7 linked regions of the Rattus norvegicus genome follow. The protein of the gene in region 5 purifies or fractionates together with the protein of the main gene of each other region. This does not show direct contact. Links are inferred from orthologs where the notes say so. Each region holds a gene or a part of one and is shown on either strand. Other genes may lie near its edges. The genes, in order: Sp1, Dyrk1a, Srebf2, Atxn3, Crebbp, Smarca4 and Foxm1.

The links.
Region 1: the proteins of Crebbp (region 5) and Sp1 purify together in Homo sapiens (affinity purification with western blotting; 5 studies listed by BioGRID, with this or other methods). This does not show direct contact. The link is inferred for Rattus norvegicus from reciprocal best matches to the Homo sapiens genes CREBBP and SP1.
Region 2: the proteins of Crebbp (region 5) and Dyrk1a purify together in Homo sapiens (affinity purification with mass spectrometry; 4 studies listed by BioGRID and IntAct, with this or other methods). This does not show direct contact. The link is inferred for Rattus norvegicus from reciprocal best matches to the Homo sapiens genes CREBBP and DYRK1A.
Region 3: the proteins of Crebbp (region 5) and Srebf2 purify together in Homo sapiens (affinity purification with western blotting; 3 studies listed by BioGRID and IntAct, with this or other methods). This does not show direct contact. The link is inferred for Rattus norvegicus from reciprocal best matches to the Homo sapiens genes CREBBP and SREBF2.
Region 4: the proteins of Crebbp (region 5) and Atxn3 purify together in Homo sapiens (affinity purification with western blotting; 3 studies listed by BioGRID). This does not show direct contact. The link is inferred for Rattus norvegicus from reciprocal best matches to the Homo sapiens genes CREBBP and ATXN3.
Region 6: the proteins of Crebbp (region 5) and Smarca4 purify together in Homo sapiens (affinity purification with western blotting; 3 studies listed by BioGRID, with this or other methods). This does not show direct contact. The link is inferred for Rattus norvegicus from reciprocal best matches to the Homo sapiens genes CREBBP and SMARCA4.
Region 7: the proteins of Crebbp (region 5) and Foxm1 purify together in Homo sapiens (affinity purification with western blotting; 5 studies listed by BioGRID, with this or other methods). This does not show direct contact. The link is inferred for Rattus norvegicus from reciprocal best matches to the Homo sapiens genes CREBBP and FOXM1.

Annotation. Positions count from the first base shown.
Region 1 is NC_086025.1:135,444,050-135,447,531, reverse strand, and holds part of Sp1 (transcription factor Sp1), read right to left. Parts: intron 3,118-3,482; coding exon 2,918-3,117; intron 2,652-2,917; coding exon 2,338-2,651; 3' UTR 1-2,337. UniProt on the Homo sapiens protein: Transcription factor that can activate or repress transcription in response to physiological and pathological stimuli.
Region 2 is NC_086029.1:47,451,802-47,455,301, forward strand, and holds part of Dyrk1a (dual specificity tyrosine-phosphorylation-regulated kinase 1A), read left to right. Parts: intron 1-665; coding exon 666-813; intron 814-3,500. UniProt on the Homo sapiens protein: Dual-specificity kinase which possesses both serine/threonine and tyrosine kinase activities. Exhibits a substrate preference for proline at position P+1 and arginine at position P-3.
Region 3 is NC_086025.1:115,541,807-115,546,106, forward strand, and holds the start of Srebf2 (sterol regulatory element-binding protein 2), read left to right. Parts: upstream 1-1,500; 5' UTR 1,501-1,640; coding exon 1,641-1,728; intron 1,729-4,300.
Region 4 is NC_086024.1:126,869,982-126,874,103, reverse strand, and holds the start of Atxn3 (ataxin-3), read left to right. Parts: upstream 1-1,322; 5' UTR 1,323-1,427; coding exon 1,428-1,451; exon of another isoform or gene 1,452-1,567; intron 1,568-1,601; exon of another isoform or gene 1,602-2,073; intron 2,074-2,100; exon of another isoform or gene 2,101-2,904; intron 2,905-4,122. UniProt on the Homo sapiens protein: Deubiquitinating enzyme involved in protein homeostasis maintenance, transcription, cytoskeleton regulation, myogenesis and degradation of misfolded chaperone substrates.
Region 5 is NC_086028.1:11,960,840-11,964,339, forward strand, and holds part of Crebbp (histone lysine acetyltransferase CREBBP), read left to right. Parts: intron 1-458; coding exon 459-620; intron 621-902; coding exon 903-1,184; intron 1,185-2,522; coding exon 2,523-3,500. UniProt on the Homo sapiens protein: Acetylates histones, giving a specific tag for transcriptional activation. Mediates acetylation of histone H3 at 'Lys-18' and 'Lys-27' (H3K18ac and H3K27ac, respectively).
Region 6 is NC_086026.1:28,442,319-28,446,618, reverse strand, and holds the start of Smarca4 (transcription activator BRG1), read right to left. Parts: upstream 2,801-4,300; 5' UTR 2,507-2,800; intron 2,368-2,506; exon of another isoform or gene 2,202-2,367; intron 2,105-2,201; exon of another isoform or gene 1-2,104. UniProt on the Homo sapiens protein: ATPase involved in transcriptional activation and repression of select genes by chromatin remodeling (alteration of DNA-nucleosome topology).
Region 7 is NC_086022.1:163,332,128-163,335,627, reverse strand, and holds part of Foxm1 (forkhead box protein M1), read right to left. Parts: coding exon of another isoform or gene 3,480-3,500; intron 2,902-3,479; coding exon 2,773-2,901; intron 1,853-2,772; coding exon 1,808-1,852; intron 1,282-1,807; coding exon of another isoform or gene 1,279-1,281; coding exon 1,209-1,278; intron 1,039-1,208; coding exon 1-1,038. UniProt on the Homo sapiens protein: Transcription factor regulating the expression of cell cycle genes essential for DNA replication and mitosis. Plays a role in the control of cell proliferation. Also plays a role in DNA break repair, participating in the DNA damage checkpoint response.

The sequences.
Region 1 (3,482 bases), on a different chromosome or scaffold from region 5:
TAGGAACAAAAGGTGTGATGATGGCTAAGGACAGGTAACGTTTACTTCAACATTAATAACATGTGATTTGGGGAAAGTCCCTTGAAATATTTCCTGAGTCTTGATAACAGTATTAAGTCTGCACAGAAAGGACCAAATGGAATAAACTAATGTTAGTATTTCAGGCTAACAACACCGTAAACTTAACAAGAACCTAGTTTAGATGGAATTTACGTAACATGTATAATAACACTATAAGCTATTTGTAGCCAAGATAAAGAAGTTAGAATAAGGAATCCACTATAGATTTGGATGTTGATTTCATTTTCAAACACAAAAATAGTTTCTTTTTTTAGAAAGTGCACTAGGATATCCCCCCACCCCATAATTGTTAACCAATTTAACACAAGCAGAGAACTGACCTTAGGAACATACCCAAGTTTTATGACCAATTTCTAGATAATGGACCTGAAAGGCATTTCGATCTGAATTTATTTTCCAACAATTTCAAATATAAGTTCTCATCTGCATGTAGATATATACAGGCACAAACACATTCACACGCAGTCATACACAAACATTTTAGATTCTCTATCAGATCAGGGTAATTTTTTATTGCAGGTCTCTTTAAATATTGGCTAACAGAAAACCTATCCCCAACCTAATAGATTCCACACATACACTCAACCACTTTCATACTTCCTCACAGTGAAAAGCTCTCTGACAAGATAGCAGAAAGTCAAGAGAGACAATGCTTTAATGGCTGGGCCTTGAGGACAATTCTGGTTGCATTTAAGTCTCAGTGTAAAATGCACTGAGTTTCCCTGCCGATATAATTTTTGGATCAGTCTCTTCTGGAATCAGGCCATAGAGAAAGCAGGATAATTTCTCCCAATTTCTCCTAAAATCCACAGTGGTAAGACAAGATTTCTTTTTGTTCTGGGCTATCGTTCCCATGATTGTGTGCTTCCCTTTCCCTTAGGAACCACCCAAGTACATGTAAGGAAGAGTTAAGGGGGACTTTTTTTTTTTTTTTAAAAGAACCACTTTTGCCACTGGCACAAGTTTTGCACTCTACAGAATGGAAAGTCCAAACAGATTCCCTGGCTGATGCTCCTAAACATTAAAACATTAATACGAAGGAACTACAGAAATGTTCAAAAGAGGAAGTGTACTTCCTTTCAGAGTGTGAACTCAGAAGGCCATTCTGTGAGGCTGAGAGTTATCTGGAAGACAATGATACTGAAATCCGAATAATTCCACTAACTTCTGAACCCAAGACTATTGAGTTATTTCCTTTTCTGAGAACATCTTTTTCATACTGAAAGCTGCTGCCTATATTTGAGCATTTTGACAGTGTATCTCCTTCAAAGGGCCTCTTACACAATTCCACAGAAATACTTCTGACTTTTGATGTGTAGAACAACTAATAAAGGGAGATGGCTTTGACTCTCCAGCACTAATGTGCCTGCGTCAGTAGTATTTGAACACTCCCTCCATAGCTACACTTCAAGGCTTTTCCACTCCGTTGCTGGAACTAACGTCTTTAAAATATTAACAGAAGTGCCTAATCCAGGGATCACTGTCAAAAACAACACAGGAAATGATCATGTAAGAAAAGGGTGTGAGACAAAAAGGACTGAGTCAGGAAAGAGTGCAAGGAGCTGATCCCAAATAAAGTAACAAAATTAAGGAAGAAGACACATTATATATGTATATATGAACTGAAGCAGAGCGTATGAATGCTTACTCTGGTGGGATGCCAGGACAACATTTATAGGAAAGCTTGATGTGTCATGATAAGGCTCAGCCATTGAGAAATAAGGCAATATAAAAAAAAAGAAAAAGAAAAAAAGACCAAGGTATTTTGGTCACAGAATGGTCTTTTTCCTCCTCCCAGCCAGCCCCTGTGAAAGCATCTCTATATATTTTTTAATATATATATATATAATATAGAATCTGTTTTTGTTAAAAAGTATTTCAATGATCATATATATTTATCAAGGCATGATGGCTTTAGGAAAGGGGGGGATCCATCATGGGAGAGCTAAGAGGGAAAAACAGGAAGAGGAGGCTGGGTAAGAAGGGTAAGAAGAACCTGGGATGAGATAAATGCTGATCAAAAAGTGGCACCAACAGAATTTTCACTAATATTCTCCATTTTCAAGGAGTCACCAGTGACATAGATGGGTGCCACGATCCCATCTCTTCTTTTGTACCATCTCCCAATTCTTCCTATCACCAAGCACATGAATGCCTCATGGCTCTCTCTTCCACATGTCTCTTGGACCCATGCTACCTTGCATCCCAGGCTTGGTGGGTATTGGCCCATATGTCTCTGGCCCTGGGCGTCTAATCTCAGAAACCATTGCCACTGATATTAATGGACTGCAGCTCTGTCACCTGCATGACGTTGATGCCACTGTTGGCAAGACGGGCAATACCCTCTGGACAGATGGCCTCCATGGCTACCATATTGGTGGTAATAAGGGCTGAAGGAGTGGCAGTGCCACTGCCTTCTGAACCTGCCCCACTGTCCAGGGGCAATGTGCCCACGCTCAAGGCTACACCTGGGCCTCCCTTTTTGTTCTGGTGGGTCTTGATATGCTTTGACAGATGATCGCTCCTCATGAAACGCTTAGGGCACTCAGGGCAGGCAAATTTCTTCTCTCCTAGATTTAAAGAAAAAAAGAAAAAAGATAACTTAGCCAAAAAAAAAAAAAAAAACCCAGCCAAAACAAAGTTGAGGTTGATGTATGTCTTTCAAAATCCCTCTTGAAACTGAGCTCCTTATTAAAAACCTTCCAGACTACTTCAAATATTCTTGGGGACATATTCAGTTTCACATATACGTTGTTCAGGGATTTCAGTTAGCTTCATGGGCATATTACATCTTTTCTTATCTATTGCTTTCCCTTTTCCCTCGGGTCTTACTCACCTGTATGTGTACGTTTATGTCTCTGAAGCTCATCCGAACGAGTAAAGCGCTTCCCACAGTATGACCAATTACACATGAATGGCCTCTCCCCTGTATGCCAGCGCAAGTGTGCACGGAGATGTGAGGTTTTGCCATATACTTTGCCGCATCCTTGGATATGACAAATGTGCTGTTTCTTTTTGCCAGGATCTCCAGAGCCCCTAAGAATGAGAACATAATGATTTATTACTCTGGAGATAGAAATGAAGGAACCAAGAAGTGTAAAGATTGAAATAAGTACACTGTGGCTGTCTTCAGACACACCAGAAGAGGGCATCAGATCCCATTACAGATGGTTGTGAGCCACCATGTGGTTGCTGGGAATTGAACTCAGGACCTCTGAAAGAGCAGCCAGTGCTCTTAACCACTGAGCCATCTCTCCAGCCTCTGCTTGTTTGTCTTTGAGAAAGAGTCTCTCTGTGTACACCAGGCTGTCCTGGAACTTAGAGATTCACCTGCCTCTGCTTGCATAATGCTAGGTAGGATTAAAGGTGTGTGTGCTGTCATACCTGTCACTAAGACTTAC
Region 2 (3,500 bases), on a different chromosome or scaffold from region 5:
TTTAAAATTAGGAAATAATCTGCTTTCTGAGAAGCATCAGAACCCTTTTTTTTATTCTTAGGACTAAATAAAAAATTTTTTACATTAAAAAATAGTTGAGCTAGAAGTGGCAGTACTACTTTTAAACCCGGAACTAGAGAGACAAAGGCAGAAAGATATGAGACTTTGACTCCAGCCTGGTCTATATACTGAGTTCTAGGGCGTCCAGGGTCATACAGTGAGACTCTGTCTCAATAATAAAAATAAAAAACCCCAATAGTTGAGTAAGTTGTTTTATTTAAAAAGTAAAAGTGTGTGTATGTGTGTAAAAAGCACATATACAGACATACATTACACAGATGCATACACATATACATGCATATACACATTACCTATACACACATATGTTGATTTAAGTAAGAAAGAGTGAAAGTCAAACTTCCCCTTCATCAGCAGTCATTTTATTTTTGAGGGAAGAAAGCGGTTGCCATCTCGTTGTTCTGTGCATGGTCAGAAACACTGTGAGGAGGGTACAGGAGCTCGTTTCAAAGAATGGGGTTAGGACCTTGTGACAAAGTAGATGGTCTCTTGAGGAGAAGCAGCAAGAGTGAGGTAGATTGCAGGATGGAAGAATGTAAGGTGTAAAGTTGTTAGTGAAACTGATGATGACTTGTTTTGTTTTGTAGGTTGTGAAAGCATATGACAGAGTGGAACAAGAATGGGTCGCCATTAAAATCATCAAGAACAAGAAGGCGTTTCTGAATCAAGCGCAGATAGAAGTGCGGCTGCTTGAGCTCATGAACAAACATGACACTGAGATGAAGTACTACATAGGTAAAGGCGGGCAGTGAGTGGGCCTCTGGGGTGCTTTACAGTGTGAAGCCACAGACAGCAGTGTCTGCTGTGTTGGTTGTTTCCTAAGTCACAACTCACAGGTGCCATTGTTTGCTCTAATGTGTCTGTTTAGGGAGCCGCTGTCGGGTGACTTGGTAGTGTACTGTGAGTGCCTAAGACTTTTTAGAACATATGTCTGAACTGCGATCCTCCCAGACTTAGTGAGAAGTGGATTCTTGTAGCATAGGGAGCACGTCACAGCATAGTCCCCCTATCGCCCCTGAGCTTTTCCTCTGGCCTCCCCACAGGAAGGTGACTTCAGCCTTCAGTCAGAGAAAACCTCCTTTCAGTCGTAAGCATGGATGGTCTTGGGGCACTCTGTCTGGGTCTGACCCTGCTCCTGTGCAGTCCTGTCTCAGTGTGTATGCCAGTGTCATGCCGTCTCCCACAGGAAACAGCTGTCCGCCAAGGAATGAAGACTGGAAACTTTAGAGCCAATCGGTTTATGGATAAAACATCTTCTAATTCTATCCTTCATACTTTTTAAAGATTTATTTCTGTGTGTGTACATACACCTGTGTACAAATGTCTTCAGAGGCTGAAGGCATCCAGTCCCTTGAGCTGAAGTTGTAGAGAGGTTCTTGGACTCAAACCCTCGGGTGCTGTGGGAGAAAAACATTCACTGTCACCTACTGAGCCATCTCATCTCTCCATCCCACAGCTGTTGGGTTTTAAAAATCAAATCTATTATATCAGTGCTGATAAAACACTATTGTTTTATTCACTAGTAAGAAAAACTGCCACCAAGTTTACAGTACTTATGTGACATAGCTCACAGCTGCATGTGACTCGGCTCTGGAGGGTTCGATGCCTTCTTGCCTCCACAGTTACCTGCACTTTCTCTCTCTCTCTCTCTCTCTCTCTCTCTCTCTCTCTCTCTCTCTCTCTCTCACACACACACACACACACACACACACACACACACACACACACACACTCTAGAACATCTAAACTGTCAGTGTCTTCTGCTGTCTGATGGAGAATGGGCTGTCAGCAGAGCTGATGACCTGTAGGCACGGGCAGCACCATGTGTGCTTTCAGAAGTTTTTTTCTTTCTTTCTTTCTTTTTTTTTTCTGGAGCTGAGGACTGAACCCAGGGCCTTGAGCTTGCTAGGCAAGTGCTCTACCACTGAGCTAAATCCCCAACCCCACAAGGATTCTTTCTTATTTATAGATTAGGGCATTGTTGAGAAGTGTGTGTGGACTGCCTGTTAGGCTGACATTATGGGCTGTTTCATCATGTAAATTTATATCTTTGCCTCCCTTTTATAATAGTGATACCTAAACTAATGACTTCCATTGTTCCCAAAGTTTAGTTTCATTGTACTGTCGTAATCACTTCCAAATAGTGTAAATGAATAAAAACTGCACTACACACAAATGCATTGTTTCCATAGCAGATGTTGAAGGGCCCAATTTACCACAAATTTTGTGGCCATTTTAATAATTAGCTGCTGTAATAGATCACTGAGCATTGTTAATACTGAGTGCAGAGCATGTCGTAACCACATTGAAGCTGATAAGTAAGGCTCTAGTGGAAAGTGCAGTGTCATAGGCAAAACTGGGTTTCAAGTAATGGGCATCATTAAAAGAAGCCATTAGACTCATGGTTTCGTCCACGGCTTTGTGCTCCCAGGCCTATGTGACTGAGCTTCAGACACTTTACGCTGTGTCATTGGTGGGTTTCCGCATCCCTGACCGGGAAGGAGCTTGAGCCATTCCTCTTTGCCTCTCTGGTGTCCTCCCTGACAACTGTGGGGACCATCCTGATGATACTGGATGTGTCTGAAAAGCTTTCCTCATCACACGGGCGGTCTCATTTAGTGTAGAGCAAGCCCAGTTCTGTTGAAGGGGCTTCAAAGGACGCCTGAGTTTATAGTGGTCTTTGGACACACCTCCTCGCCTTCCTATGCTGTGCCTTCTGTTTTGAGTGTTCATGTTCCCTTATGTCCCTGGATATGGGAAATTCATAGTGACGCAGAACAAAACTGAGGGCTCTGTTTTGGATGGCACCAGCAACAGAAGTACTTTAGACACAGAAGTGTTGCTTGACCTGTACTCTAAATTTAAGATTCCTTTTTTGATGGTACAATTTTTAATTTTAAGACAGTTGGTAGATAAAATATATTGTGGTGACCTTGAGATTTAACTTTTAAAAAGCACCTGCCATAGAGTGTAACTTATTTTAGGTGGCACAAAAAGTTGTACAAACTACATTTTATTTAACTCCTGTTTATTTGTATATTAATGAATGTGTGCCTGCCTTGAGGCTCAGGCTGGGGTGAAGGTTCATGGTGTGTTCGTGATTGCGTTTATGGTCATCGTACCAGGGGGTGTCAGAGCTCAGTTCCTTCTTGTCTTAATTGAAATCTGTGAGTCTTTCCTCTCCTTCCCTTACACTCATTTCTTCAGAGAATATTTTCTGGAATATTTAATGACAGTGGTCCATTTAAAAGTTTCATTTCATTTATTGGGAAAATATCCTACCAACTCTTCATGTTTTTCATGTCCAGTCAAAAAGATGAACAGATATATCTGTGTTTGAGTTTTCTTGGATGTTTTTCCTGCTAGTACAGCACAGCCTCTCAGTAAATGAGTGGCTCACATGAATAGAGGATCTCTGTCAG
Region 3 (4,300 bases), on a different chromosome or scaffold from region 5:
TTTAAATGAATAGGTATTTTGACCTAGCTTCCCTTTTCTGGGCTTTTCTTGGACAATCAAACCCTCTGAACTTAAGTGTTGGTGGCATCTGCCCTGCTACCAACCAACAGCCATCATTAGTATGTTTTGGGTTGTTTCTTGTCCCCTATCAGAGATAGCTGCTTTCTCGTGTCTCCCCCAATAAATCTCTCATGTGAGGCTTGTTGTGCAGTGTGACTTGGTGGTATTCCTAGGCTCCTAACTACCAGGATGTCTTTCCCTTTCAGAGCAGCAACAGTGTAACTGGAGAAACCTTCACTCTGAGCTTAAACCCAGAAGTTAAGAGCTGTTTGCTTGCCACAGACATCAAATAAATGTGAAAGTTATAACTGTGGTCCTATGCTGTTTTGAAGATGACAAAACAGGCTTATCAACAAACAGTTGCTTAGCCAGCCCAGGAGCACAAGGTAGATTATTGAATCCGCAAGTTTCCCCACAGAGCCTGTGCTTTCTTTAGGTCTGACCCCTAAAACAACTGCCTCACGCACAGGAAGGTCTTCCTATTTTGTCATGAAAACCTTTTTTCCTGTCAATACACACTTAAGTCCTTTTTAAAATGCCCATTCCATCATTTTTTTTAATGATGCCCTGATATTCCACAGTTTGGAGGTAATTTGTGTACCTGATGCCTTACTGTGCTGCTGTTTTCCCGTTACAGAGAACTTTGTGATGAATACATGTACTTAACTTTACTAGCATTTCTTTGGACGCTAATCCTTGTTTCCTCGGATACATTCTGGGAAGTGTGCACCTTTGTGTCCAGTGTGACCGACACCTGTAAGATGTAGTGAGGTGACTGCAGGAGTGGGGTCTCACCTCAAGAGCCCATTGGTGGGCTTTGGCAAATGACCTCGTCTGAAGGCCTGGAGGTTTATGAGGTTTTCCAAGATTGAGGGCCAGTTGTAAAATGTTCACAACACTCAGGCGATTCAAGAACGTGTTAAGTCTCGGATGGGACAAGTGTGACTTAAGGTCTGGATAGTCTATCCCTGAATGTTGGGGTACCAAGATTCTACCCAGGGCTAGGGGGAGGGAAAGAGACAACTGGGGAGATGACGTAATGTGCTCGCAGAGTAAAGGGGGCGGTAGTAGGAGGTAGCGCTGGACAGCATTGTGTTTAACCCTTCTACTTCCGGACTCTTGGCAAAGTTGCTCCTGGAACTGATCCAACGGAAAAGTAGCGTCTCCTTTAAACCAGAGGAAGGCTGGGACGAGGACCGGGAGGCTACTCTCCGCTGGCGCTTGGAAGCCGTGAGGGGCGGAGTCTCGCTATGCAAATCTGAGCTGCTGATCGATGACGCGCCATCACCCCATGAGCCGCTTCGCGCTCCGATTGGCTAATGCAGGCCTGGTCCCATTGACAACAAACATGGGGGCGCGGAGGCTCGGGGCGGGGCTGCAGTGGGCGCGGCCCGGGGCGGGGGAATTCTGCCCCGCCCCTTCCGTGGAGTCGGGGCGCAGCTCAAACATGGCGGCGGTTGGCACCGGGCGGTGAGGCGGTACCAGGTGGGGGCTGTCGGGTGTCATGGGCGGTGGCGGCGGTACCGCCTCCGCGTCTCCCTGAGCTGGACCTCACGGGGGACTCTGCGCCGAACTGGGCGATGGATGAGAACAGCGAGCTGGGCGGTCTGGAGACCATGGAGACCCTCACGGAGCTGGGCGATGAGCTGACTCTCGGGGACATCGACGGTGAGTGGCGGCTGGGTGGGAGTGTGGGGGGCGCGCGGGGAGGAAGGGGTTACGGCGGCGCTCGCGGGTGCGCGTGCGCCCACCCCGCGATCGCCCACCCCGCGATCGCCCCGGCGTGCGCGGGAAGGAACCCGCGGACCGGGCTGCCGGTGAGGTTCCCAGTTCTTCTTGCTCCAGAGTCTGAGCCCGGGTCGTGACTCAGGGCTCCAGGTGGCTGAGGAGTCCTGGCGCCGCGGGGCCTGAAGCGGGGTTGGGGGCGTCGCGAATACTGCCAGAGAAGAAAGCGAGGCGGCCGCCTCCCTCGCGCGCCCACACGCTCTCTGGTTTGTCCGGTCTTCGCCGGCGTCCGGCGTCGCACCTGTCACTCCCTCCCTGGTCACTGGAGCGGCTTCGGGATTTCCCGGACTGCGCTCCGGGCTCGGCTCCCCACGCCCCCGCTCTTTTCGGGATTGACTGACAGCCGGGTCTCCTGGCGCTCTGGAAAACTTTGGGCATCAGCTGCAAAAGCAAGTTACTGATGGAGTGGACAGAGACCGCAGAGTGCGGCGGCCTTGCATGGAGACCCAGGCGCTCCTTCTGTCGCACTGCAAAGGGAGTTGAGCTGCAAGAATTTTGAGTTGTGGCCCCTCGGGTACTGACTAGGGAGCGGGTGGCCTTTGTTTCGGCGGCCTTAACAGCGAAGTGGAAGAACTGGTAGGAGCCCAGGGATCCTCTCTTACAATTCTCTCACTTTTCAGCCACGGGAAAGAAGGTTTGGAGAGGGTCCCAGACTTGCCCGCGGTCATCATGCTGCTTAACAAAACCCAGTTCTTTCTGTTTCTGAGCCAGTATTAGTTTCTTTCCACTCCACCTTTGAGAATTTGAAGTCCAAAGAACAGGCTAGTAATTCTCAGTAGTCGGGCTCTTCTGAAGTTCTCAGTCATTTATTCCTCCCACAATCCCACGGAATAGGTATCACTCAAATTTGCAGGAGGTATTGTCTAAGGTCACTTACTTTAGAGAGTCCAGAACTCCTCCTAAGCAATGACTCAGTTATGGAGTGTTTCTACATCTAGAATCTAGAACCTTGCAGGCATATATGATGGCTACATCCTCACTTTGCAGGTGAAGAAAGAGGTAGAAGGTTCTCTTGTGTAGGCAGAAAGTGACAACAGTTGTTTGAAGAAGGTGTTTGCTGTGTTCCTGTTTTGCTTTTGTAACATTTTTCCCACTTGGTTCGCCCTTACTTCTCATTTTGATCATCCAGTGTGACAAGACCCTGTAATTGAAGTTCCACTTTTTTTTTTTTCTTTTCTTTTCTTTTTTTAGGAGCTGGGGACCGAACCCAGGGCCTTGCGCTTGCTAGGCAAGCACTCTACCACTGAGCTAAATGCCCAACCCTGAAGTTCCACTTAACCACAGATTCTTCCACCAAGTATTGCTAAACACAAAGATAGGTTAACAAGTGGGAGGGGTTACTGCTTGGAACACGGGAGTGGCTAATGTGTTTTGAGCACTCAGGTACAAGACACAGTGTTAAGCACTCACACAGCTTTTCAATTCGTGTCACAGCCCTATCAGATAACGCTGTCAGACTGGCCATCTCCCCACTGTTCATTAGCTTACCCAGAGTTCCCTAGTCAGTAAGAAGTAGGTCTAAAACTGCCTACCAGCAGGGGCACAAGAAAAAAATTCATGTTGTTTTTTTTTTTGTACTTATATTTTATAATGACCTTTATTTGTCTAAATTTTCAACATATTAAATTACCTAGTGGTTAATATTAACCTTATAGATTGCTAAGTCTATGTATAAATAAAATGTATACTCTAGAAACCACAGCAGTAGGTCAGTAGTTTCTTAGGCCTCTGCCTAGTTTGGGAAGTGTTTACTTGCTCCAAGAGCCGGCTTTGGTATCTCAGTTGTAAAATATGGATGGCATTTTAGGACCACGTAAGGTTGCATGTGCACAGGGCAGTAAGTGAAAGTCAGTGAGGAAGCTTCCTTGAAGGCTAGTTTACCTGCAAGATCACACTGAGGAGATAGCCACTGACCTTAAAAGACAAGAAGAACCAGTTGAACAAAGCAAAGGCCAGCGGTCTAGATGGAAGTGTCGCTGAATCCTCTGTGCTCCTGAGCAGGTTACTGAGGGGTGGGGATGGAGGTGGGGCAAACCACCTTTCATTTCCTTCCCACAGTTCTTTGCACCTAGAACAGCACTTGGAACAGTGGGAATGCGCACTATTTGTGGAATGCCTGTCTGAGTACCTGGGGCAGGATATTAAATATTAGGTATAGTTTCCCTGATTGGATTAGAGCAGAGTGAGCAGCCCATGGGCATCTGAGATGAGGAAGAGAGTAGTATGAGTGCACTTTTGTAACTCACAGCCTAGAAATCTCACGGTTCCTTCAGGAGGTCAAAGAACTGTGAGTCCACAGCCAGCGGGGTCTCTTCTTGGTCAGAGAGCTAAAATTCTTGTTTCTTTTGACTAAAATAAATGATTAGGAATATAGTTCCATGGCAGGGCGCTTGCCTGGGGTTTGTAAAGTCCTGGGTTTGATACCTACTACTGCACAGACTATGCAAATGAGCAC
Region 4 (4,122 bases), on a different chromosome or scaffold from region 5:
CTTAACCTCATAGCCAGTTACCTTCTAAATTGCAATGAATCTCACCTCACAGCTCAAAACAGCTTCTGTAAACTCCAGGCCAGACATCTATTACTCACAAAAGTACCTTATGTTGCACAGACATTTAAACTCATTATTCCCCAAATTAAACCCTTGTCTTCCCTTCCCAAGACCCTGCTCATTCTGCACAGTATTTCTGGTTGGAGTATTACTCCTTCTTTAGGTGGTACCTACAGCAGACACCCACAAATCTTTCCTAACAATAACCCCTTTCACCCCAGTTCCTCACCAAAGTCTTCTGAGTCTGCTTCCTGAAACTTCAAATTGGTCTCTCTCCATTCTCAAATCACTACTGGAGTTCTGACCACCATTGTCTCCTCATTTCTCCCAAAATGCCTTTCAAGTATTCTGTTCCCCAGTGATCTTCTAAAATTCTAATTTGACCCCATGTCTCTAGTTTTGAAAATCTGTAACCTCCTGTAGGTTTTTTGTTTGTTTTGTTTTGTTTTTGGTTGGGAGGTGGCGGGCAGGATCGTCCTAGAAACCCTGGTTACAGGCTGCCACAGTCCAACACAACATACTCCTCCTACCTTCAGGTGCAAGGATTAGGAGAATGAGTCTTTGTACCCAGTTTCTTTGCTGACTTTGAAGAACCTAAAATGGTTCCACCACACAAGATCCGCGCCCAAATAACACTTAATCTTTGTCAATCCCTCCCCCACCCCCGGCGCGAGCCACTCAACATTTTACTGGACTTTTCACTTCCCCATCGACGCTTCCTCCTTCAGATATTGTACATTTATCCTGGGACCTGATACTCATTCCGACAGGCAACTGTGTTGGACACTGTGCTATTCTAATTTCTTAGTGCCTACATTTCTTCATTTGTATAATAATATTACAACATACACACACATCAAAAATGCCGCATTAAATCGCACTTAGAAGTGGACTATTATAAGTCAGCCCTAACTAAATACTAGCTATAGTTTTCACACAAATACTAGGTATTGGGAGAATGCCTTTTTTGGAATGAGGTTTTCAGTGGGAGAGGAGGTATTACACGTAGTTGAGCAGAAAGTACCAAAAAAGGTGGAAATGGAGAAAAAAAAAAGAACCTAAAACCTGGCTGCGAGGATTCTCATCTAGAACCCTAGAATCACAACATTGTCTAGCGTAGAGAAGTTCCTCCGCACAGCAGGCGGCGCCGCAGCATCACACACGCGGCGGGAGGACCAGCGCCGCCCAGGTCACGTGTCCCGTGCTCCCCGGCTCGCGTGCCGCGTGACGTGCGCCCGCAGTAGTGATTGGGTGGCGGGAGGCACGTGGGTAGGGCGGGGCGGGCCGGGGCGGAGGGGTGGGGCCGGGGGCGGAGCTGCTGGAGGGGGCTGCTCCGCGCCGGGGCCGTTGGCTCCAGACAAATAAACATGGAGTCCATCTTCCACGAGAAAGTGAGTGTGGGCGTTCGGTGGGGAGCCGTCCGCGGCTCGGCGGCGGGCGTGGGGAGCAGCGTCGCCGCTTCAGGAACTCAGGCGGGGCCCGAGCGCCCCCATCCCGACTTGGCTGGGTGAGGGGTGCTTCCTGCCTTCCCCCCATGGCACCGTTCATGAAGCCTCCCGCATGCGTCTCCGGCACCCTCACCCTAAAAGACCGGGCGGGTAACCTGGGCATTTCGGGGGGCTTCATCCGGAGGATTAGCGCGGGCGTTTCTTGTTCACTTGCCACGCCTTTTCGGGTTTCTTCTATCTTCTCTCCTGTGGTCTAGTCTAGCGAGACGCCTTTCCACACCTGACGGACCCTTCCCAACTCCACCCACTCCCCCTGACCTATCCTCTGGCAGAACCAACTTTCTCTCTCAACTCAGTTCTATGATGGAATGTCCCATGCATTTAGATCTTGGTGATCTATCCCACGTCCTTCTGCAGTTGTGACCGTGGCTCTCCCATTGAAGGGCCTGACACTTGGGAAGTAAAGTAGGAAATCCCGGAGGGAAGTCGTCATAAGAGTTTTTATTACGGGATGTTTGGGCTGCTCTCCCATTTTTCCGGACCAGGAGGCCAGCTTTGTTTTTAGGTATTATGGATAGATTAGAATCTTTCTACTGTGTGATTTGGCTAGTCTCTTCCTCACCTTAATTCCTAAGTGACTACGCTTTACAGTATTGTGACATCTCGAGAAACTGGTCTATGCTCGCATACAATTATCAAGTCATTTGGGTGTTCCTCGGACAACTTTGGCATGATTCCGTGTTTCATAATCATTTTAGGTTTGGAGAGGGTTGCTAGTTGAGACTATTATTACAGTTGGAGCAAAGGCCTTTGTTTTTATCATTTGTAAAGGAGCATTCATTCACAACGTTTAAAGTCCATGCACGACAAAAGAAAGACAAAAATGCTGTAAATCTAAGGAAGTTGTTAAATGAAAGTGTTCTTAAGAAGACCTTTCATAGTGTTTTTGGAACTGGAACAAGTTAGTTTGTGACAAGATTTCTTGTAGCCCAAGCTGGCCCCAAACTCTCCATCCTACTGTCTCTGCCTCCTGAGTGCTGGCTGGGATTATGACCATGTGCCCTGACTCTGAGTGCGCCACCCCCTCCCCCACTCTTTTGTAATTTTCCAAAGGCTTTGGGATAAAGTCCATTTTAAACATGTTATACTCTTTGGGATAAAATCCATTTTAAACATGTTATACTTTATACACTGTTTTGTGAGACTCCTGCCATGTATTCTTAAAAGAAAAATGCATGTGCTTGTGTGGAGGTCAAGGATGACTTGATAAAGTCTGTCCTCTCTTTCCAACTTGGTGTGGATTCCAGGTGTCTGAGGCTTTGGCAGCAAGCTCCTTTACTCTCTGGGTCATCTTTAGGGTGAATGAAGGAAGAAATGGAAAGGACATGACTTCTAGGTATGGTGAAGGAGAAAGTTTATTAAAGAGATGTGGGAGAGCATAGCCTGGGGCAGACACATTTGGGAGACCCCAGAGTTGTCATGACCCTGAACCACATGGGGAGAGGGAAAGGAAATACAGCAGCCAGGAGCCAAAGGTGCAGAAGTATACCAAAGAGGTTGGGTTACCAAAATACATGAATTACATAGGCAAGGACCACTAGGGGAAGGGCAGCTAGGCCATGGTCTGGAGAGTTCAGGGTAGAGAGTAGGTATACCAGCTATACCCTGGTATAAGTAGGGACTAAGGGATGCTGGGAGAACCTGGAGTTCAGGTCCGCTTTGATATGTTAAATAGGTACCTCTGCCACCTACCATCCTGGGATTGAAGCTCAGCATAGGGCTCTTAAACAATACACTAAAAAATATGTATTTTTTTGCTGGCAGGGGTGGTAGGCCTTTAACCTCACACTTGGAAGGTAGAGGCAGGGGAATCTCTAGTGAGTTCAAGGCCAGCCTAGTCTACAGAGAGAGTTTTAGAACAGCCAGCTCTATACAGAGAAACTGTCATGGAAAACAAACAAAAAAATTGTATTGGTGTTTACTGTTGTGTATGTCTGTGCACTGTGTGTCTGTTGCCCACTAAAGCCAGAAGATTCCCTGGAACTGGAGTAACAGGCTTGTGAGTAGCTGTGTGGGTGTTAGGAGTTGAACCGAGGTCATCTGGAAAGCCAGCCTGTACTCTTAACTGCTGAGCCACCTCTCCATCTCCCTCAATACCTTCTTTTTTTTTTTTTTTCTTTTTCTTTTTCTTTTTTCTTTTTTTTTTTGGAGCTGGGGACCGAACCAGGGCCATGCACTTGCTAGGCAAGCACTCTACCACTGAGCTAAATCCCCAACCCCCCTCAATACCTTCTTGACAATATTGATTGTTCCTCATTTGAGCAGATTTCAGTGAAGGTAACTACTGAATCAGTATATCCAAAATGCTAGGCTAACAAAGACTTACTCAGGCCAAGGATATGCCTCACCTGAATAGTGCTTGCTGTGTAAGCATGAAAACCAGAGTTCAGATCCCAGTGTGTGTTTGTATCCCCAGTACTTGAGGCAGGGAACCGAGCCAGGTGGGTTTCTGGTTGCTGACCAGCCAGTCTAGCTGAAATCAGTGAGTTCTAGGCTCAGTGAAAGACTATCTCACAAAATAAGGTGGAGCGCAACTGAGGAAGGCATTTGACTT
Region 5 (3,500 bases):
GTCCCTTTTTGACCTCAGCTAAGTAGTAAAAGTAGTAGCAGTAGCTTGTAAGACAAGCTTACACATGTTCTACCCTAGTGGAGGTATTGAATAGGAAAGATCAGTTGGGTGTAGTTACTCTTTGGTGCTCCCATTTACACCATCCCATGTCTTCTGAAAATTCATATAAATGAGCAGGTTTTCCCAAAGCAAAGGACTGGGTACCGAACATGCAGGATGGAGCATAGCACTCCTGCCAGTGGAATCCTGGGAGTGGTAGAGAAACTCCTCTGTTGCTTAGATTGTGAATTAACATCCAGGAGAAGTAACCGGACATACAAGTGCCCTGGCCAGGCTGGGAGGATTTCATCCTTAGCCCTCTGGAGGTAGTAGCCTATGGCCCAGGTGCATATGAGGTCTGTGGAACCCCATAGCCGAGGAAATGGGTGTTAGTCTAATAGCTTTATATGTGGTTGCAGGGCAGTCAGGGTGACAGCAAGAATGCCAAGAAAAAGAACAACAAGAAGACCAACAAAAACAAAAGCAGCATTAGCCGCGCCAACAAGAAGAAGCCCAGCATGCCCAATGTTTCCAACGACCTGTCGCAGAAGCTGTATGCTACCATGGAGAAGCACAAGGAGGTAGTGCATAGGCTGGTGGGGGTTCTGAGGGTATTCAGTGCCCAGAGAAACAACAGGCACCTGCCTGCGAGGTTGAGCTTTTCTGTATAAGTCTGGGACAGGAGAAGGTGGAACAATACTTGTTAATATATTGTTTGGCTTGTTATCAGTTAAATTCCATCCCAGGAAACCAGAGCCTCAAGCAGTCCCTAGGTTTGGTTATCCTCCTGTTCCATAGGAAGATGTGGCCTTGCACTGGCACACACTGCTTCTCTGTGGGGATAATACAGCTCCTCCTTTCAGGTCTTCTTTGTGATCCACCTGCATGCTGGGCCTGTCATCAGCACTCAGCCCCCCATCGTGGACCCTGATCCCCTGCTTAGCTGTGACCTCATGGACGGGCGGGATGCCTTCCTCACCCTGGCCAGAGACAAGCACTGGGAGTTCTCTTCCTTACGCCGCTCCAAATGGTCCACTCTGTGCATGCTGGTGGAGCTGCACACACAGGGCCAGGACCGCTTTGTCTATACCTGCAACGAGTGCAAACACCATGTAGAAACACGCTGGCACTGCACTGTGTGTGAGGTAAGCCCTTCCACCTCTCTCCTGGCCTTCCTCCATATGCAACATTGTTCCCTGCAGCATCGGGAATGGATGCAGGTGTTGGCCTCTGTGACCTACATTGTCTGTGCTAACCCTCCCAGGGTGAGGAGTGGCACCCTTGTAATCCCTTTCTTAATCTCTGCTCTTGTCCACCACAGCTACAGGCTATATGCCGAGGCAGCCTGACTGGAAAGAGGCTATGCAAAACTTTAGCTCTACAGGGATTCTGGTGTATTTATCTCTTTCTAGCTTTGCTAAGTGATTAAGGATGCCTTTCACCCTGCTGACAGGTTGGCACTTTTGATTAGGTCCAATGGCAGGATCGCAGAATGTGGTTAGAAGACTTGATGTAAGCCACTGGCAGTTTCACTGCCTCCTGCCCTGTGGGTAGCTTGACTTCACCCTTGTAGAGCTTGTCTTGGACAGGTCAAAGGTTGCTTAGCCCTTCTTCTTTGCTTACCTTTTCAGTTCCTGCCCCCTGTTGTCATCGGCCATATCCCCTCTTATCCTTCTCTATTGTCCGTTTTATAGACAGATAGACTGGCAGGCAGGCAGACAGACAGACACGCACACGCACACGCACAAACACACCCACACCCCTACCCTCTCAATCCTCTTTCTGCTTTACTGATTTTAGGATTTTGTATGTGCTTTCTGTGAGCACAATTTCTAGGCCCAGCCATAGGACGTCATCTTCAAATGTGTATTCTGTGGGTGGGTGTGAGTGTGTTATTTGTAAGTAAACATATTTGTGTATATGAATACAGAGACCAGTGGAGAATTACTCTATAGCTCTTTACCTACCTCATTTCCTTAAGAAAAGAAATGCCACTGAATCTTGAGCTAGGCTGATTGACTGACCAGCGATCCCAGCAGTCCTCTTCGTTCCTCCTTGTCTTGTGCTGCCATTAAAGCTCACAGCCATACCCAGATTTTTGTTTGAATGCTGAGGATTGAGACTCAGGTCCTCTTCCCCACTGAACTATCTCCTAAGCTCCTATCCTTTGGATTTAATGCTTCCTTTTTAGTTTCTACGTTGAAGTATCTCTCAGCCACCAGGGCTTCTGTTGTTGAGGAAGGATCATTTTGATGATGCCTCTCTCCGAGGGATAGTGTCTCACAGTCCACTAACAGTGCTTGGGGGAAATGACCCTAGTGTTCTTAATCCTTGCTGTTAAGTCTAAAGCACATGAAATAAAGAAGGAAGGTAATCGTTAATAACTGGATCAATCATTAATTGGTCCTACAATATGCCCCATGCCTAAGGGTGTCTGCTCGTGCTGTGCCTGTGCTAATGCGGTTTGTTCCTCTTGTCCACAGGACTATGACCTTTGTATCAATTGCTACAACACAAAGAGCCACACCCATAAGATGGTGAAGTGGGGGCTAGGCCTAGATGATGAGGGCAGCAGTCAGGGTGAGCCACAGTCCAAGAGCCCCCAGGAATCCCGGCGTCTCAGCATCCAACGCTGCATCCAGTCCCTGGTGCATGCCTGCCAGTGTCGCAATGCCAACTGCTCGCTGCCATCTTGCCAGAAGATGAAGCGAGTCGTGCAGCACACCAAGGGCTGCAAGCGCAAGACTAATGGAGGCTGCCCAGTGTGTAAGCAGCTCATTGCTCTTTGCTGCTACCACGCCAAACACTGCCAAGAAAATAAATGCCCTGTGCCCTTCTGCCTCAACATCAAACACAAGCTCCGCCAGCAGCAGATCCAGCATCGCCTGCAGCAGGCTCAGCTCATGCGCCGGCGAATGGCAACCATGAACACCCGCAATGTGCCTCAGCAGAGTTTGCCTTCTCCTACCTCAGCACCACCCGGGACTCCTACACAGCAGCCCAGCACACCCCAAACACCACAGCCCCCAGCCCAGCCTCAGCCTTCACCTGTAAACATGTCACCAGCTGGCTTCCCCAGTGTAGCCCGGACTCAGCCCCCCACAATAGTGTCTGCTGGGAAGCCTACCAACCAGGTGCCAGCTCCCCCACCCCCTGCCCAGCCCCCACCTGCAGCAGTGGAAGCAGCCAGGCAAATTGAACGTGAGGCCCAGCAGCAGCAGCACCTGTACCGAGCAAACATCAACAATGGCATGCCCCCAGGGCGTGCAGGTATGGGGACCCCAGGAAGCCAGATGGCTCCTGTGGGCCTGAATGTGCCCCGTCCCAACCAAGTCAGTGGGCCTGTCATGTCTAGCATGCCACCTGGGCAGTGGCAGCAGGCACCCATCCCTCAGCAGCAGCCGATGCCAGGCATGCCCAGGCCTGTAATGTCCATGCAGGCCCAGGCAGCGGTGGCTGGG
Region 6 (4,300 bases), on a different chromosome or scaffold from region 5:
CATCTGCTACCAATATGATGACCTGCAATTCAATCTCCAGGACACACGTGGTAGGAGAAAATCCACTCCTGAAAGTTGTCCTCTGACCTCCATATATCACACAAAATTAAACAAAAATTTTTAAGTTCAAAAAAAAAAAAAAAAAAAAAAAACCACCTTTCACATCCAGCCACAAACAAACCACCAAACCAGGACCCCAGACTTCACCAGTGACTTCATCACTTTCAAAGCAGTGACATCTGGGGCTAGAAGAGCAATGGCCTGGAAAGTTCAAGGCCAAACAGCAGCAACAAATATTTATTGCTTTGGATCTTGTACCAATCGCCCAAGTTCATCCTCCCCAGGACCCTCCTGTCCTGTCTCACTACTGCCTGCTCCAACTGCACTGTTGCAGACCAGACAGACAGAGCAACAGTTCTGCAGGCACCATTCCATTCTCAGCGTGTGGGGTGGGGAGACACATCTTCCCTAATTGTAAATGAAGGGTCCTCCTCCATGCAGCTTCTAGACTTATGCCCACCACTGCTCCCTCAGGCAACCACTCTGTCCTGTCACATGATAGGTTGTGAGGCTAAATGATTGGGGAGAATATATCATGTCTAACATGCAGAAGGCCATGGATTCCAGGCCCAACAACACCCAAAATGAACAAACAACAACAAAAATATCCCACATTCATAAAAATAAAAAGATCAAAACCATGCTTGGGTACTGGCTTGTGGTAGAACATTTCCCTAGCATGTACAGGATCAACTTTGATCAGCACCACAAAAATTCAACACACTTAGAGCTTAGGCAGGAGAAACGAATCAACAGGTAAAGTACCCCACAGAAAACTGACCACCTGAGTTCAATCCCAGGAACCCACATGATAGAGGGGAGAACTGACCCCTGAAAGTTGTTCTCTGACCTCCACACACAAATAAATAAGGAACTGCAACACTTTAATGAATCCCAGCACTCCCGGAGGCGGAGGCAGAGGCAGAGAGATCTCTGAGTTCAGCTAGAAGCCAGCCTGGTCTACAAAGCAAGTACCAGGAGAGTCAGGGCTACACAGAGAAACCCTGACTCATAAAATAAACAAATAAAATCTATTTAATTAAAAAACAAAACAAAACACAAATGGGCCCAACGGCATGGCTAAGCAAGAGTTTAATCCCAGCACTCAGAGGGCAGAGGCAGGCAGAGCTGTGTGAGTTTGAGGCCAGCCTGATAACAGAGTTTCAGGACAACCAAAGCTACACAGTGAGACCAGAAAGGGGGAGGGGAGGAGGTCAAAACAAACCAAGTACTTCTTTATGAACCAATACTCATGCAGGCCAAGGAGTAATGGTTCCATTACAGCCCATTCCCCTACTAAGACATGTAACACAAAGTAGGAATTCAACTATCTGCTGGACCAGTCAATAACAGTACAGGAAGCCTGGCTGAATATGCTATCCCAGCACTTGGGAGGTGGATGGAGGCAGGAAGATGAGGATGAGCAATTCAAGCCCAGCCTGGTCTACATAAGAAGGTGGAGGGCAGCCTTGGTTATAAGATCCTGTCTTCAAAATCAGAATGATGATGATGATGCAGGAGCTATTTTTTCCCAATCCTATCAGTGAAAGTGATTCCCTTGTACAAAGGAGGAAACCAAGAGGTTTGGAGAGATTTAGCGATTTCGCCTAAGGCCACACAGCTAGCTGACAGACAACGCTGGGCATCAAACTCAAAGCCTGTCTGTCAATTCAAACAAAAAATTTGTTTCCAGTTCCTGAGGAGTCACTGGAGGTAAAGAGGATCAAGAAGATGCCCCTCCGACCCGCACAAAACAATTGCCTTCGAGGTTTTAAAATAAAAAGCCCTATCTGAAAAACTGGGAAGAGCCAAGAGACTCAAAAGAAAAACAATGCGGCCGTGAGCAAACGTTCCCAGGCATCTTTCACTTTTTAGGCAAACATTTTGAAGCCACGGAAGAAATTTAAAATCTGCAATAATGAAATTTATCAAAAAGTAAAAAAAAAAAAAAAGTGAGGTCTGAGGACCGAAGAGGGCTCATGACTGTGCCCAAGCTACACAGGGCATCAATATCTGAGGTAAAATGTTGCTCCCGACGCCCGACCACAGGGCATTAGAATCGCACAAACGAGGCCAGAGAAGCCCAAGACACCTAGCCACTGTTCAAAGTTAAGATTCACAGAAATTAAAGTGGGGGGGACCTGGATCTCTGGAACGCCAAAAGGAAGGAGCTTTGTCCCAAGACCCCACGAGAACGCGCGCGCGGCCTTCACACAGGCCAGAGTCACCCGCCTCGCCGGCCACAGAGCCTGGAAGCAGCCGCGGTCTCGCTGCACTGCGGCCTGAGCAGCGCGCGCAAGGCTTCTTGACCCTCAGGCGCCGCCGTACCCCGACCCCGCTCTGGTCGCCCAGCTGCCCCCTCCCCCTCCCGGCGCCTCGGCTTCATTCAAACCGTCTTCCCCAAGCCCCGGGAGTCTCGTTCCGCCCGGGAGTCTCCATTCCTTACCTGGAGGTACCGGCGCCGTAACCTTCCTGGCGCCGCCCCCAACCCTCCACGAGGGGTCGGGGACAGAGTGGGCGTCTCGCTTCTCCTCACGAAACAAAGAAGCCGTCGCCGCCGCTGCCAAGCTAGTGGGAAAGCCTCGCGCGCGTGCCCGCTCGGCTTCGGCTGGCCGCCCCCCCCAGCACACACGCAGCCCGCGCGCCCGCTATGCGCGCCCCCGCCTCCCTTTCTACCCAGTCCACTTCCCCTGCTTCCGCTGCCCGTCCGGCCTCGTGCGCGCGCCAGCCCACCCTTCCGCTCTCTGTGCGCATGCTCAGCCATTCGTTGTGCGCATGCGCACTGGTCCTTTGAGGTAGTGAGAAGATGGGCGGGTCCAGAGGCCGCACGAGATCCTGGTGCACCGCCCATATTGGGGGGCTCTGGGCGGCTCTGCGCAAGCGCACACTTATGTTCAAGACACGAAATTGGGCCTCAAGCCGAAGGGCATGCGCAGAGGTGGCGGCACTGCGGCGACGCTTAGATGTTGGGGGAGGGTACTGGGTCGTCCAGATGGGAGATAGTAATGATGAAAGGGAAGTTCTTAGGCTCGGAAATGAGCACCCTGGGAGGAAAGTGAAGCCGAGAGGTGGCCAGACTGCCCAAGGACGGGACAGAACCCACGCGGGGGTAAGGGCAGGCCTGGGAAACGCTTTGATCCTGGCTCTGGCACGGCCCTGCCTGCTCTGCAAGGCTCTGTCCTGGCCACATTTCCTGCAGAACCTGTTGAGGCCCAGTAATTAGCTTTCCAAATATTTATTGAGCTGCCATCGGCTACTAGCCATCCTCTGGTTCATAAACCAGATGAATAAGTAAAAGCACAGGGTGTGAGGTAGAAACAGCAATGGTCACAATTTTCCTTATGATTTCGAAGAAAGCCATTAGCTTTGGAGAAATGAGCGTATAATTCTGTCCAAATGTGGAGATTCCAGGCCTCTGGTTGGTTTTAAAAGTATTTGGTGGTGGTTGGGGATTTAGCTCAGTGGTAGAGCGCTTGCTAGGTCCTGGGTTCGGTCCCCAGCTCCAAAAAAAAAAAAAGAAAAAAAAGTATTTGGTGGTAGCGGGGCAGGGTTCTGGAGGCAGAAGCAGGTGGATCTCTGGGGGGTTTTGTTTGTTTGTTTGTTTGTTTAAGATTTATTCATTTATTATGTATAAGTACACTGTAGCTGTCTTCAGATACACCAGAAGAGGGCATCGGATCTCTTTACAGATGGTTGTGAGGCACCATGTGGTTGCTGGGAATTGAACTCAGGACCTCTGGAAGAGCAGTCGGGGCTCTTAACCACTGAGCCATCTCTCCAGCCCCCAAGACCAAGTTTCTTTAAGACCTGGCACTTGCTCTCAAGACTAGACTGGCCTCGAACTCAGAGATCTTCCTTCTTCCTTCCTGAGTGCTGCATGAATGTACCAATCCAGCTTGGTCTTCTACATAGTAAGGTTTCAGGGCAGCCATGGATACAAAGTGAGACTTTTAAACAAAGAAACAAAAAGCAGTTTTCTGTCACAAAGTAGAACAAAGAATGTTTCAGGCCATTAAATAGCTGGCAGTGATCCCCCTGCCACTGCCTCCAAAATGCTAGGAAAACAGACCCAAGCTATCAACACTGGCAAACACATGGTATTTTTGGTTGGTTGGGGGGGTTTTTTGCTTTTGTTTTTCAGGACAGAGTTTGTCTGTGTTGCTTTGGCTGACCTGGAACTGGATCTTGAGACCAGGATGAACTCAAACTGAGACCTACCTGCCTCTGCCCCCCAAGTCTG
Region 7 (3,500 bases), on a different chromosome or scaffold from region 5:
AAAGGCTGGGGACCTGCAGCTCGGGGGAGCCTGGCTTGGCTTCCAAATGTGGTGGTGGAGAACTGCTAAAGGGATCAGAGGCAAGGTCAAAGGCTTCTGAGTTAAGGAGCTCCCGGGGTGAGTCGAAGAGGGGAACACTTTTCAGAGGTGTGGTATTCAGCTCCATAAGCCCCAGCGAGTCAGGCAGAGGGCCAAAGGCACCCTGGGGGGTTCGTACTGGGCTGAAATCTAACCCCCCAACTTTGGCTGGGGGTGTGAGCCTCCAGGACTCAGGGTCTCTAGAGAGCACAGACTTGCTAGGAGTGGAGGAGACAGGCAATGTCTCCTTGATGGGGGTCTTGAAGGGCCCTCCCTCCTCCTGAGGGCAGCTGAGCTGTGGTGCAGGCTCTGAAGACTCTGCCAGGATCTCCATGGCTGGCCGAAATGTGCTGGAGTCCTCTGAGAAGAAGAGTTCAGGCTCATCTAGACAGGGTGGCTGAAGGTGCTGCTTCCTCCGAGATCGGCTCACCTCTCTCTTCTCTCTCCGCTTTGTCACCAGCATTTCTGAGACACACCGTGTTGGGGACTTAAGCCCACAATAGGACTTCTTGGGCTTTGGGGTAGGAGAGCAGGAAGAATCTTCCCAGGAGTTGGACAGTTCCTCTTTCACTGATGCACACGGAGAGGGCCACTCTTCCAAGGGAGGGCTCTCCACTTTGATAGGCCTCTCTAAGTGTGGTATGTCCTCCCCAGGCTGAATTACTTCTTCCTTAATGGACTGAATAGGAAGCAAAGGCAATAGCCCTTCTCCAAGCAGGGGTTTCTCCTCCTTCATGGGTTCTGTGGCAGGAAGTGGGGCTATCCCTTCGTTGGATAGCAGCACCTTGGGTGCAATGCGGACTCGCTTGCTATGACGGGCAAGCTCTGAGCTCATAAGAGATGCTGCCAGAGGCAAGGGAACCTTCACCGAGGGCTGTAACACCAGGGACTGGTTCACCGGGAACTGGATGGGCACCAGGTATGAGCTAACCCGTGGGAGCAGTGGCTTCATCTTTCGCCCTAGGAGGAAGCAGGAGAGATCAGAGGTAGCAATGCTAGGGGTCTACTACTTCCCACTCCAGGAGCACTACTCAACTATGGACTCAAACTCCCTTTGAGTTGGAGACATAACCTGAAGATAGGTCCCAGAACCAGGATTGGGCGCGTCTGAGACCCACTCTCATACTCACGTGCGCCTAGTGGGAGTTCAGTTTTGATGGTCACATTTCTACGGAGCTCAGGATTGGGTCGTTTCTGCTGCTGCTTATTGGAAGAGAAAGAAACCTGGACTAGTAAGGTAAGGAGAGAAGCAGAACCCCACCAACCTGAGCTGATGCAGAAACCTTTCTGGTCTAAAAACCCAGAAAGACCAGCTGGTTTGAGTGATGGATGCGGGTGTACATCTATCAAGCCATGCTTAGGGGAAAGGTGGACAACAGCAGACACGAGGGAGGGCAGGACAGTGCTACACCTGACCCATGGTACTCACCACCCCCAGGGAAATATGCACTTAGCCATCTGAGAGACAAACACAAGCCACGTACGCTGAGAGAACAGGCTGCTGCCCCTGCGGCAGGGCCCATGCCTTGCATCTGCCCTTGCAATGGTGGGTCTTGCAGTGCCCACTTTGCTCTGCTCAGCACACCTTTGTGGTACTGTGTTCAGGGTTAGCAGCCACAGGGTCAAACATAGTCCCCTCCCCATGTCACAGCTTCTCTGCCCACTAAAGCCATGCTGAGCAGTGAAGGGAAAGAAGGCCAAGCCCCGAGCCAGAGGAAAAGAATCTTACTGATTCCAAGTGCTCGGGCGATTGTGGAGACCCTGGTTCCAGTGGCTGGTGGCGGCCAGGCATTGAGGGAGAGAAATGAAATGAAGTTACCACAACTGTGGTCAATCTACCCAGACTAGGAAGAAACCTATTTGATGGGTGCCAAGGGACACCATGGAGAAACATTCCCTTCCAGAAGAACAAACAGTACAGCAATAGCATCCTTATGGGTACCTAGAAGTCCCCAAAACAACAACTTTTTTTCTGAAAACATGTTCTTATGGCTCCATTTCTGGCCTCTAGACTTAAAGAAGGGCTTCTTTGGAGCAAGGTGGAAAATACAAACTACAAAGCTGGAGAGACGAGTCAGTGGGAAGAGAGCTTGTTGTACCAAGCAAAAGGATCTCAGCTCAGACCCCAGGACCTACATTAAAAAGAGGCCAGAGCTGGCCTTGCATGCATCTATAACCCCAGGGCTATGAGGAGTGGGGGTGGAGATAGGCGGATTGAAGGGGTTTGCTGACCCCAGTATAGCTCCAGGTTCCACAAGAGAGTCACCCGAAGGACACAGAGTGATAGAGAAGGACACCCAAGGTCTTCCTCTGGCCTCCACACATGCCTGGTTTGTGCACTTGCACATAGACTCCCTGCTCTGCCACACCAAATTACTAGACCTGTCCCAGATTCTCCGTTCAGAACCCCAAGCAAGAGACCTGGAAGCTGCATTGTAACAAGTGTCTACTTACAGGGAATTAGAGAAAGACTCCTCTATTTAGACCAGAACAGTTTTCTTTACTCTCTGGTCTAGTACAAGGAGTATCACTTCGTATCTGTCAGCAGGCCTCGGTTAAGGGAATCATGCAAGTTATTAACTGGGTAACTGGCTTCTAGCTCTCCCTCAGTCAGAGAACATCAGAAGGAACACCACTCCTTTACAGAAGGCGCAGTAATCACCAACTGCCTCTCCAGATGAAACAAGGACTCACCTTAAACACTTGGTCCAATGTCAAGTAGCGATTAGCACTTGGGTGAATGGTCCAGAAGGAGACCTTGCCATTGGCAGATGTTTCTCGAACAAACATGTCATGGAGAGAAAGGTTGTGACGAATAGAGTTCTGAAAGCGACAGATAAGCAGCTATCAATTCAGTTGGCTTTGGAAACATTGCTCTTGGAGTTGGGAAAGGCCAGGGTATCTCCCACTATGTTTAATAAAGATCGTGTTCAGGTCCTAGCAATGTCACCTGTTGGCACTCCCTTCCTGGTATGCCACACTGCAGAGCTAACCTCAGCGGATAAAGATTCATAACTCCCCCATCCCCTACCCCCCAATCAGTGGCCAGAACAACAAACACCTGTAACTCTTGCCTCATCACCTGTGTGGAAAATGAGGCAGGCTAAGCTGGGCAGCCAAGAACCTGTGTTTTTCAGAAGTGCATCATGCCCTTCGGCATCAGGAGAGAGGAGAGGACTCCACTGCACAGTCCCCAGAGAAACACTAGAGGTGCGAGAGCAGCAGCAGCAGCAGGAAAAGCCATCTGTGTGCCTGGACACAGTGGTGCATGCCATATGCCTGGAACGCAGGAAGGTGAAGCAGGAAGATAGAGTTCAAAGCCAGTCTGTTACCCAGCAAGATCCTATCTCAGAGACAGAACATGCCAATCTGAGGATCAAATATGGCAGAAGCGCTGCTACCTGTGGCCCGAGCTTGTGGTA